Coturnix japonica: one gene and its partner. The protein of the gene in region 2 interacts with the protein of the main gene of each other region in a pairwise test. Links are inferred from orthologs where the notes say so. Each region holds a gene or a part of one and is shown on either strand. Other genes may lie near its edges.

Region 1 (6,218 bases), on a different chromosome or scaffold from region 2:
AGCCCCATTTCTTTAATAATGGACCCTATATCAGACCTTATGTGTACTGATGAAGGAACCTGAGCATAATGGTTGTGCACTTGTGCATAGCAGAGCTATTTTTCCAGAACAGGAAATCCAGATGAGGAAATCTGCTTGTACATGCACCTCAACTATCCTCTATAGATGTGGTATATGAACAGACCACATCTGGATTCCATCCCTCACTTCTGCTTGCTCAACAGCAGTAGAAGCTGCACAGAGCTTGAGGGACTTGAGGGGTTGCTCAAGTCCACTATATTTCAGTGGATTAAGTTGAGGGAAGTTTTGGAAGTTGAGAGATAGCCCCTGAAAAAATTGTCTGCAGCTATTCTGCAAGTTATTTCAACTGTAAGTGCTGACATACAGATATCAAGATGTAAAGAAACAATGTTTATAATATATTTATCTTTTACTTTTGGAAAAGAAGTATATTTTCATTTTAACTTAATTTCGTGCTCACCATGTTTACCTCAGATGAAATGTGACTGGCAGTGTTTCTGGGCTTGGCCTTCCACTTGTACTCTTTGATCTTTGACAGGGCTTCCAGCATCCTTTAACTCAATTTACAGCCTTTTGCACTTACAATTTTAAAAGACGAAACCTATCATAAACCTCTGATTTTGCTGAGTTTAGTTTGTACTGCTTGCTCACCTTCTCCCCATGCTCATTTTGATTATGTTCTTTTGAAATAAAAGAACCTATTGAATCTCACCACTAAACCATGTCCCTTCGTGCCACAATAAATGCTAGAACATAAAGTTATTAAAGTAAATCTCACAGGAGATTTCCCCAGCCAATATACTTTTGGCTCTCAAAGTATATTGTCTGAGTACAGCTCAGTTCCATGGAGGAGTAGTCAAAGGAAAAAACTGATATGAGTGATGACTGTTTGCAAATGCTCACCAGTGTTTTTTAGTTGCAAACTTGTATGCTCCAGTCACTGTCATCTGGAGAACATGTGATCTGAGCTCACTAACCCCACTTCTACAATTTAAACTTTAATAAGTGGCAGGACTAGTGAGATAAAAGGTCACTAAAATAAAAACTGTGTCTTTGGACTGAGTGGAAGGAAAAACAGAAAGAAAAAAGCAGGGGTAACAAGAAAGGAGTGTCACAGCTAAAGAAGTGACCTACAGAGCTATGCAGCAGGTTGTCCAACCTCTGCCAGGCTGTTGGAGCTTGGTTCTCTTCCTCTCCTTCTTATCCATTTCTTGTCTAGTGTGAGAGACCATTTTCTAAAAGGTTCAGAGTGCTAACTAAAGGAAATGAAAGTTCTCAGCACTCAGCAATGCCCCAAATGAACCCTGGTATGTATTTCATTTCTCATATTAGCATTTTAAGGAGTGGGGAACTGACAAAGTAGAAAAATGAGATTGGCTTTGTGCCTTTATGTACTTCTTACTTATAAAGAAGACCTGGAAAAATATGGTTAATTTTTTAAGGATTATTATTCTTCTGGTGATGCATTTTTCTCCTTGTATTTCCTAACCTTGGAAAAATAAAATCTGATGCTTGCTTTTTTATTATTATTTAATTATTAGTGGAGGCCTCATACTTATACTGCTGTTTCACCTCTTAAGCCTGCTGAGTCTTAAACAAATATATTTCTGCCAGATCTTTTAGAGGGAGTTATATTAGGTGTAAACAAAAGCAATGGTTTTTTAATATGTGTCCTAAGAACCATTTTGTTCTCTATTAATGAGATTTTAATTGCTTGTTCTCTGCAATAATATGATTGTTCTTTAGTGTTATGTAGAGTTATGCAGTGTTATGTAGAGTCAGCTGGAAGGAAAAGTAGTAACATTAAAAAATGCATGAAGTTCTACTTAAAAGTCTGTAGAGAATACACTTCTTGTCAGGAGGCCTCTGCACATTAAAAATGTTAATTACCCACTTCTCCTTGAAGGCCAACAGTAAAAAATATATGATGGGTCTTCCAATATAAACATCTCTCTGATGTTGTATGCTGAGGGACAATTGCCTCAATTGCCTGTGCCAAAGCAGTGCCTGTGCCTAATGGCCTAACAAGAGAGTTGCAAAATACCCTGACACAGTGACTTTGAGCACTAATATTGCCTTTGAGCTGGATGCAGCTCTTGAAGTTGACACTGCAGAGCTCTGCATTTTTCTCTTCAGTTCTGGGAGGAGATGAGGGAAAAGAACACTGTAAAGAAATGCCTTTGTTAACATGCACTCACTTTCTCCAAGGATCTAGCCTACAAAGGCCGCCACTGGCATGAGAGGTGCTTCAAGTGCACCAAATGCAGCCGCTCTCTGGTAGAGAAACCATTCGCTGCCAAGGATGAGCTCTTGCTCTGTACTGAATGCTACTCCAATGAATATTCATCAAAGTGTTTCCACTGCCAGAAGACCATTATGCCTGGTAAGACAACAGGGATCCTCCTGTGGAAAATGGAGCTGCATTTTCAATTAAAATCACATCCTCAAATAACCCAGCTACAATAGCGCAGCTTACTGGACTGCTGCTCCCTCCTACAGTACCCTGCCAGCAGGAAAGACAGGCCCTCTGGTCTAGCATTGGCAGGACTTATGAATCCTCATAAAGAATATTAGAGTTTAAAATAGAATAAAATGTGTTCATGCTGTGACCTTGATTCTGCCTGTAGTTCTTAGGAAGTGCATCCCACTGTGAGTATAGGTGGACAAACAGCAATCATCAGCAGGAGTGCTGAGATAAACAAGAGATCTGCATTTAGCCTGTCACGTTGGCAAGGCCTTCAGAACTAGAACTAGCTTACATTCTTTATAAACCACTTCTTTTGCACAGAAATACCTTACACTTCACTTGTCAAAACACTAAGTTCTGTGTTCAAATAATTATTAGTATTTTTACTACAAAACACATATGGATTTGTTTATAACAGGTTTGGCACCGTAAGTGCCAAAATGGAGTAGCTTGCCAAGGAGAGTCAGTACCAAACTATTGGAGCAGTGGACTACCCTAAATCCTTAAGCTTTTTTTACAGATGATTCAAATACCAGCAGCAAACTGTGTGCTGTGGCCTTGTGATTACTAGTTAGGACCATGAAAAATTATTGTCTTTTATATAAATACTAGGTTACTGGTATCCTAGTTCAGCCTGTAGCATTGAAAGCATGTACTTTTACACTTGTATTTCTTTTCTTCTTTGTCACAAGTAAGACATGCTAGTAGAAATTAACGTTGTAGTAATATAGTTGTGTTCATTGTAGGGTTGATACACTGCTTAAATGTGGTATATTGTTAGAATGTTGTCTAATAGAGAGGCAATAGTGCAATCAAAAGTGAAAGAAATTTCGTTTAAAGAAGATAAAATACATTAATATTTATACTAAACATCCAAACAAATTCATATTTAATTTATAGAAGTGCTATGTACCTGAACATCACATCATCACTGGGCTGTCTGGTCTGAGAGTAACTATGAGCAACTGGAGTGTATAACAGAGCAGTAACTCTAAAAGAGTAAAATAAGCATGGAATAAGAAAAAAATCACATTTTAGGCCACCTAGTGTGCCCTTTGCCAGTTGATCATAGAATACTGAATGAGTTTTTGAGATTAGCTAACATACTTAAAAACTATGAAATTGAAAGTAAGCGTTTTGGGGGATAATAAAATATTAAGACAGGAGATGAAAAATGAGACATTTAAAACCTTTTCTGCAAGACTGTACCTGGGAGCATTATTTGTGTTGGTTTTTGCAGGTTCCCGTAAAATGGAATTTAAGGGCACTTCCTGGCACGAATCCTGTTTTGTTTGTCAGTATTGCCAGCAACCACTGGGAACTAAACCACTGATCACCAAAGACAATGAGAATTACTGCGTGCCCTGTTTTGAGAAACAATTTGCTCATCATTGCTACTCTTGCAAAAAGGTAATTTCAAAAGAAAAACAAAAGGTAGCATACTACAATCTATGTTATTTTTGGTCAAGACCAGGTTGTCCAACAGCAAAAGTACACCAACAGAGACTCTTTCTACAGTCTATAATGTGCATGTTTAAAACAACCTCTGCAAATTCACAGTTTCATTCTCACCTGGAGATCTGAAATCTAGGTCTGCACCACACAATGGGTAAAAAAGAAAATATCAAAACATGTGAATTCTTAGATTAGCTCATTTCAAATATTCTGTAAAAGAACTGAAGATCAAAAAAAAAAAAAAAAAAGGGAGGGGGTTGAGAGGGAAGGGAATTACCTGTTGGAATTCTTGAAGACAAGTTGCACAGCTAACGAAGTTCAGACAGCATGCTTATATGCTTAGTATATTTTTAGTGCTTTACTCTAAACAAAACAGAAAAAGCAGGGAAAATGATCTTGAAATCAACAGAACCTCTTATCAACTACAAAAGCTTGTAATTGCTTTTAGCTCCTTTTCAGGAGCACCTGTGGGCTGTATAGTCTCTCTAATGGGTATTCATACCACCTGTTTTAAAGTATTTAATGTTGATGCTTCGATTGATGCCTGTCGTCTCTTTTTCAACAGTAGAGCACTCAAAGCATTTAGGAGAGCATCTGGGAGAACATAATGAACTTATGGTTCTCTGACATATTCCTGAGTTGTATGGATGAAGTTTGAAAGCTTTAATAATTAATGCCAGTTAACTTTCCTTATTCATGGAAATGTTGGTTGTAAGTTATGGAGATAAATACATCTAACTTCAGATACCAAAGAAAGATACTTATGCTCCTTAGTGAAGCAGTATTGCTCATGGAGGAAGGAGCAGCATCATGGAAAATGTTTGGTGAACTGATAGAAAAAGTCAAGTCTTCCCTTTGGCATTGATATTGGACACTGAAAGCTGACTGTGACATTGTTTGCTGTTCTCTTCCTTATAATTGATAAACAAGTTTATAGCAGCCTGTTTATTATTATATTTGTCATAAGTTTGTTCACCAAAGCAAATATAGTGGGGTTATTTTGTTAATGGTTGTGATTTTTAACAAAGTTCAATAATTATAATCAGTACTATTTAGTTGTGGTAATACAAGTCAAGTTTCCCAATATTTTAGAACACAGAGTTTCTTCTTTGGGTACCAGAAAGCTTGATTTCAAATGAGTTGATCTTTCTTCTTCCAAATACAAATAAATCATTTTATCTCTCCCTCAATTTCTCCTGTTTTAAAATTGTCTCAAGTTGATGAAAACACCCAATAATCTGATTCTGTTCTCTAGGGAATTGATTTAAGCTGCTTTTTATGACAAAATTTTGTTTATACTTTTGTATCTCATTCATTCATTCATTCATTCATTCATTCATTCATTCATTCATTCATTCACTCTCATACATATGTCTTGGCAGTAGAAATACCACCTTACATCTCATTTCATTTCTAGAAAAATTCCTTTATACAATCGCTGATAACTTCAGTGAAACCTACTCTTGATCGCACTTATAAAAGCCACAGAGCAGCTGGAAATTTCCCCCTTCAGATATAACCAATAGAGAGCTTTGAGTGAGTTGCAGGGAATGATAAATTTGATGACACTGACAAACACAAGTTTTATTTTCTTCTGACAGTGTAGAGCTCCTTTCTGTCCTATTTCTGCTTCTTTTCTGCCTCCTACATAAAATACTGTTTGAGTTTCAAGACAGCAGAATATCAATTCCATTTGGAGATTAACCCTCAACTCATTATCAGTTCTACCAGCCACTCTCCATCACTGAGAACTGTATGAGTATGAAGAATATGCCTGATGCTGCTCAGCCTTCACCCAAAGTTTCATAACAAGACAACCTGTTATATTATAAGCTGTAAGGTTTGTACACTGGTGTGTTCAGATCAGCTGCAGTGAGTCAAATTGAGATGACGCTGTCTCTCTTACGCATATTGTAAGGGAAAAAAACAAGTGGAAGGACTTGTGAAATACTTGATAATCCTTCATGATCCTTTGTTTCATTACTTTGTTCTGTTTTGTCACAATTTTAGGTAATAACTTCTGGGGGAGTGGCCTACCATGACCAGCCTTGGCATAAGGAGTGCTTTGTGTGTTCTGGATGTAAAACTCAGCTGTCTGGGCAAAGGTTTGTTTCCAAAGATGAGTATCCATACTGTGTAGACTGTTTCAGCAAGTTTTATGCTAAGAAGTGTGCTGCTTGCAAGAAACCTATTACAGGTGAGTGTTATCTTATAGAAAGGTCTTGATACTGTGGAATTGTAGTTTCCTCTCAAATCAGATGTTCAGTTTAAAGAA
Region 2 (6,218 bases):
TACAAAGCTTTGATTGATAAATGGATTCGAAGTCGTTGAGAACATCTCAGCACCTTGGCAAAGAAGCCCCATGGATACAACCATTGCTCCGGTCCCATTGAGAGACACCTCCATGACCTCTCCCTTTTGATGAAGACCTTTCTAAGTCTCTAGGATTGCTCCACAATATTAAGCCAAAAAAGCTCCAGCTACCCCCATAACTCCGCACAACGTCAAATTCCAAGTTGGTTTCTCCAATTCATTATCAGATCTTTGGTTTCCAGTTTGTGTAAACCGAGGAAATATTTATGGCAAACTTATTTTTAGTCTGTTTTTCCTTTCATACTTTTCTTATTTCGCATTCCTTTTCTGTTTCTCTTCAGCTCTGTATAAATCTGTGGTTAACCACAATATTAAAACCTAACACGGTGCAAAGTGTCCCTGAAGAGAAAAGTAGCTCCTCTGGTGGATGCCAGTCGTGTGGGAGACGGATGCTGATGTTTATAACCACAGCCTCCTACCATGGGAGGTGGGAGCCAAGGGGGGAGCACAGCCTCCAGGAGCAGCCCCAGCCTGTGGGTGCTGGATTTGAGATCTCCAAGGAGTGGAGTGAGGACAGCAGCATGGCAGGAGAGAAACACCTCTTGCTATCCAATACTTATATGCCTATTAGTTGCATGGGATGAGCAGTACTCTTGGTACTGCACAGCTTCAAGAAACAAGGCATGATCCATCAGCAACGCTCTTGTCGTCCAGCACACTATTACAAGTGACTGTGAATCGATGACTGAGGAGGCCTGAAAGCACAGAGACAAACCTAGGGAAGGAACGTGACTTCCTCCATTTCTTATGCAGCTCAAGAGATCCAACATCCAAATGTTTGCAGCCAGATCAGAACTCTCTGCAAAACTGGGTATCTACGTGACAAAATTCCCTTCTAAGATTGGTTGCTGAGGATAACATTATATCCTGGCTGGTAAGCCAATACATCTCTCACAAGCATTAGGGATTCTTTAGGAAAGGAGCCAACTCCAGTTGGGTTCATGGAACAACTGCTTCTTTTGTATGCCTGCACTGCCACCAGGCATGACTTTGGGCTGGTTCCAGCCTCAGCTACGTGACTCTTCAAACTGACCAAGGAAAGAAAGAAAACACACCTCCTCCACCTTAACTGAGCCCATCGAGTGTTCACTTACAATTGCATACATTGCAGCTCCTGTGGGAAATCCAGGCTGTGGATTAAAATAACTGGAAAACTTCTGTCAGAAAGAGAATAACTTTTTAAAGAGAAACCTCAGTCTGAAAAACACTTTTTGGATAGTTTCCGAGCCAGTTTTTCCTCCACGTCCTGTAAAAATGGCTCTCAGCCCTCAAGGATGCAGAAAAACAATGGTGACCAAAATAACTGTTCTCTGGGGGCAATGAGCAACAACGCCAAAGAAGGAATAGTCAATAACCACTATTTACCTTTAGGAAAATTATCTTAATAATTTGGCATATATATTTATATACACATATCTCTACACATATATGCAGGCATACTTGGCTGGTTGCAGAGTGGTCTGTCACAGGTGTGAGCTGCACATACTGGACTTGGATATCGCTGCCTTGCAGTGGGGATCCATCAACTCCTCCTGATGCAGGCTCGGCAGATGCAACAGCTATCAGCTGAGCACCCTGCAACACCTGCAAGCAGAGCAAAGGAGAAACAGCTTGTGAACAGGCACAGCCAGGAACGCATTAGGAAACATCGACCTGAAAACAGATGCAACAACCAAACATGATTCAACAGAAACTTGAGAAAATATGTACATCAGTAGCAGTTTAAATAATGTGGGTCCCAAGGAGGTGGTACACACATGGAAGATTCTCACATAAGATTCTCACTGCATTTTGCCTTATGAGACCTGTATTCCCTGGAAGGGTTAACGGGCACCACACCTGGAAAGGTTTGGCTCCCTTATGATCCTAAACACAAAGTAAGTCATCCCCTATCTGTATCAGCACTAGCAAAGGAATAAATCATCCTGGTGGCCTGTGCTAAATAGGTCCATTTTAATTCCAACTCATTCTAACAACAGTTAGCACACTAAGTCACCAGTCCAATTACCACGTCTATATTCTCTGAGTGCATCCAATTCCCTACCTGCAACCCAAGCAAAAGCAAGGCTTGTAGACTTAAGAAGCCAAAGAGAGGGAAAAACCAAAGCACTGATTATGCTGTATAGTTTGTAAGCATGAGATGGTCTGTTTCACAGCTTGCAGCTATGAAAACTGATCTGTTTATTCTGCCAGCCGGCAGATGAGCGCAGCAGCTCCATCAGCTCAGGTTCCTCATAGGATGAGCTCTGCAGCCACAGCACTGAACTGGGGGAATCTGCTTTAGAAACCCCTTCTACTTGGTTTTATGATGGCAGAAAGAGAGAGGGTGGAGGGAGGGGGTAACAAAAGGCAGACACTGAGTTCACTTCTAGCATCCTCACACCTTCAGGTTGAAGATCAGAGGGTAGAAGCCAGGTTTGCTGGGAGGAAAAAAAGGAACTTGTTCAGTTTTGCTTGCTTGCTGCTGTCTCTTTGCACGGAAATATTGCGCTCCCGTGGCTGGGAAACATTTCAAAAGAGGTTTTTTTGGCCAACTGCTTCCAACGAGAGATAGTGGCTTTCCTAAGGAGTGGGCTGTTACCGCCCTCATGATAAATGACACCTCCCTAAGCGCTGCAAAAGATAATTGATGAAGGGTTCATAATTCTGCTAATGATTATTGCAAAGGGTAAGTGGGACAGACAGAGCAGTCAGCGCTGCTGTAATGTCAATAGCACACAGCCACCCCCCAGCTAATGTGTTCACTGTTATATAAATAGAGAGACGGAGCCAAGATACTTATTCTCACAGCCAAACACATTCAACTTATGACAATTTGTTGCAGCAATGTTTATCTTCCCATTGTACACGAAGGTGTAGATTTACAAATTACTGCTAATTAATGCTCGCAGCCACTGACTCTACACATCTTCATGCTGGCTGGTTGAGGCTGGGTCCCCTGTTAGCCAAAGAGCAACAAAAGAGCAGATGCTTCACCCAAAATCGCTTGCTTAAATGCATCCCTGTGACGAGAGCGACTGTAATTTACTACTTAAGTACAACTCAGAATAAAATATACATATGTGAACAACAGCAAGTCCCCCGATCTCATTTCAAAATGCAGCCAAAATACACAAATTCCGTTTAGGTTTCTATATGCTGTGAGCGCTGTTTTGTTTTTAACTACCTCTGGTATTTGAACCACAGCGCTCAAAAGATGCCTTTCAAACAGAGGAAAGAGAACTGAGAGCAAAAATAACATTCTGAACAAAAGCTTCCCTTACCCAAGTATGATTTCCCAGCTGATGGGAGGGTGGGTGGCCGTGAAGGAGTGGGCAGCACAACCCCTCCCTGGGGAGTGTGGGAGGCCAAGAGGTGACCCCTAGGAAGGACCTTTGGGGTGTTGGCAGGGTTTTATGGGGATCTTGGGTGTTCCGAGATACGGTCAGCACTGAGCTGCAAAAGGATGCTGCGTTCTGTTTTTACAGGAGCAAGCAAAAGCCTCTTGTCCTGCACTATTTACTTTGGAACGACATGATACGCCCTGTCAGAACTACATGGCAGTCTGTCCTATTGATTATCCGCAGCTCTAAAATGCATCTTGTCTCATTAACTTCCAAAGCACAAACTTCAGGATGACTTCAAGCAACCAAACCAGCCCCTTTCATGCACACAAATTGCTTTGACAACAAAGAAGCCTACAGCTGCTAACAGCACCAGCTTCCCTGTCTTAGGATGTGTAAAAGGACAGAGTTCATACAGCAGATCCAAACGGATCCAAACAGACCCCCTCTAATCAGGGAGAGCAAGCTTACCAAGATAAAAGCCCCAGCCCTATGACTTCAATCTGCCTCATTTCATATTGTTTATATATTGTTTATATATAATATATTCGTATTCACATTCCATTGTGTTTGCCAATACCACAGGTTTTATAGGGAGGCTGCAAAAATGACAGATATCAAGGGATCAATGGCTTTAAGTAGAGCAGTGAAGGAGTGGTAAAACAGAGACCTCAGCAATAGGGGCAGGTGTGAGGATATGGCTTTTCTTTGGCTGCTCACTCGGCTCCCAGACCAACACATCGACTTTGTGATTCTTACCTGCCCTTGACCTTAAAATAAAGGAGTTGTACCACAAAAATTAACAGTCTGCCCTGAAAATGAACCTCTGAAATGAGCTCTGCTGGGCTCCTCTAACATCCTGCCTCGCTGCTCCAAAACAGGTAACAGAATATGGTTAAACCGAAAAATAATAAACTTTCCTTCTAACAGAAGGGATTAATTCGTGCTCTGGACACCCACAAACAAGCAGCTCAGAGGCAGCTTCCACTTGCCTTTACATACCCCTCTATGCAGATGCAAAGTGCTCTTCAAGCACTGTTGGTGGCCTGGCCTGATCTTCCCAACCTTCCCATCTCAATGATGATAACACTGCATGGTGAACCTGCTGTACAACCCACCTCAACTACAAAGCACCATAGAACCCCATCCTCCACCGTACCCAGCAGCTCTCAGAAGAAGAAAATGTTCCCTTACTCCTTCTGAAAGAACACTAAGCGTGTTTCTATTAGTTTTGATTTTCAACCATCCTAGAAATACCAGAAGGAAAAGTATTTTGCTCAGCTGTTTATAATGAAGTGTGAACTCCTGGCATTGCCCACTCACAGAACCGCAGCCTCTCTGACCAAACATCTGCTTTCCTTAGTGCTTCCAATGAGGCTCAAGAGCCAATGGATCTAATAAAACAACCTGAGAGATGGAGGCACCCCTTCCGTTCTCATAAAGCATATTGTGCCCATAGACATCACCCACCCCTCCTTACAGCAACACATGGGCTGGATGGGACCCGCAGAGCCCTGCAGCAGCATCCAGCTGTGTTCCCATTCACCCCAACCTTGGCCATCCTCCTGTTGGGTTCTTTTTGCTTCCTTCCCCCTCCGTTGTTTTTCTATCCTTCTCTTTTCAAAGTCTCGATGGATGGATGGAAACATAAAAGCATTGAGTTGGGAGGTCCCAGATTTCTATTTTTGGCCCCGTCTTCAGTGAGTTTGCCATGAAAAATGTGGTAATAATAAAATTAGTAGTAATAATGAAAACCAGCTATTTTCTCTGCTCTCCTCCTTTCCATTTTTGCCCATAACTAAGAGTTCCATTCAACATTCAACTGCCAGGGCAGGAAATAATAATAATAATGAAAAAAAAAAAAAAAAAAGATTAAAACATAATAGATTTTCCTTTGGTTTCTTCCAAAATTACTCCAGCACAATTTCCAACCATGGTTCAGTTCCTATCATCACATCCTCTGCTGATTTTACTTATCACAGAAAACGGTCCATCGTTTCCAAGTCATTCTCTATCCCCCAGACTTCCAGTCCAGGTAACTGTCTCAGGATAACCCAAGTTTGTTTAGCAAAGAACCAACTCCCTCAGTCTGTGCCTTCTCAAACACATCCTTGCTACTGTTGTTGTGTGCTTTCTTATTAATCTAGGCAAGCACGTATGTTTGCCTACCTATAAAAAGCCCAAAACTGAGACACGCTGATTTCAACGCCTTTTTTTTTCCACTGTTTCTTCCCATTCCTGCTGCAGCAATGCAATAAAAGATGACGTTTCTTTAAATAACGGGGCTGACTCACTGAAAGGGTGGTTGTTCATGGATGGTTCACAGTGTGAAATGCTGCAACTAAAACACTGCTGAAAGGACAGTTTGGGCACAGAAGTGTGCAAACAGCAATAGCTTTATTGCCCTCCTGTGCTGCTGTCATTGATGCATTCAAAGAACAAGCACAGCTCCAAGCAGGTTGCCAAACCTCCTGCAGCACTTGTTCTTAGCACAATGCATTACTTTGCATTTGGATTAATTAAAAGGCAGGCGGAGTCAATCGTATCAGAGTGCAAAAATGACCTTTTGCTTTCATTAGTGGGCATTTAATTACACTGCCGTTACATATCATTCATTATCAACTTTCATATCTTTCATTGAAACACCGAATAGCATTAATCAAAGATATCTGTGGGGAAACACAAACGGGAAGGCTTGAAATTATTTTTTGCACTATATCCAATAAATTTAAGCTTCCTTTTAAGTGACCAAGTGTCAAGCCCACAGAAAAATACACAATCTATTTTTGAGGAAGTAATGCTGATTCGCATTAA

Evidence for each region.
Region 1: the proteins of BANP (region 2) and FHL5 interact in binary tests that used the Homo sapiens proteins (3 or more experiments, as listed by UniProt). The two-hybrid records come from large-scale screens. The link is inferred for Coturnix japonica from reciprocal best matches to the Homo sapiens genes BANP and FHL5.

What each region holds. Positions count from the first base shown.
Region 1 is NC_029518.1:66,271,302-66,277,519, reverse strand, and holds part of FHL5 (four and a half LIM domains protein 5), read left to right. Parts: intron 1-2,229; coding exon 2,230-2,404; intron 2,405-3,728; coding exon 3,729-3,898; intron 3,899-4,220; exon of another isoform or gene 4,221-4,568; intron 4,569-5,953; coding exon 5,954-6,140; intron 6,141-6,218. UniProt on the Homo sapiens protein: May be involved in the regulation of spermatogenesis. Stimulates CREM transcriptional activity in a phosphorylation-independent manner.
Region 2 is NC_029526.1:16,146,037-16,152,254, reverse strand, and holds part of BANP (protein BANP), read right to left. Parts: intron 1,666-6,218; coding exon 1,522-1,665; intron 1-1,521. UniProt on the Homo sapiens protein: Controls V(D)J recombination during T-cell development by repressing T-cell receptor (TCR) beta enhancer function. Binds to scaffold/matrix attachment region beta (S/MARbeta), an ATC-rich DNA sequence located upstream of the TCR beta enhancer.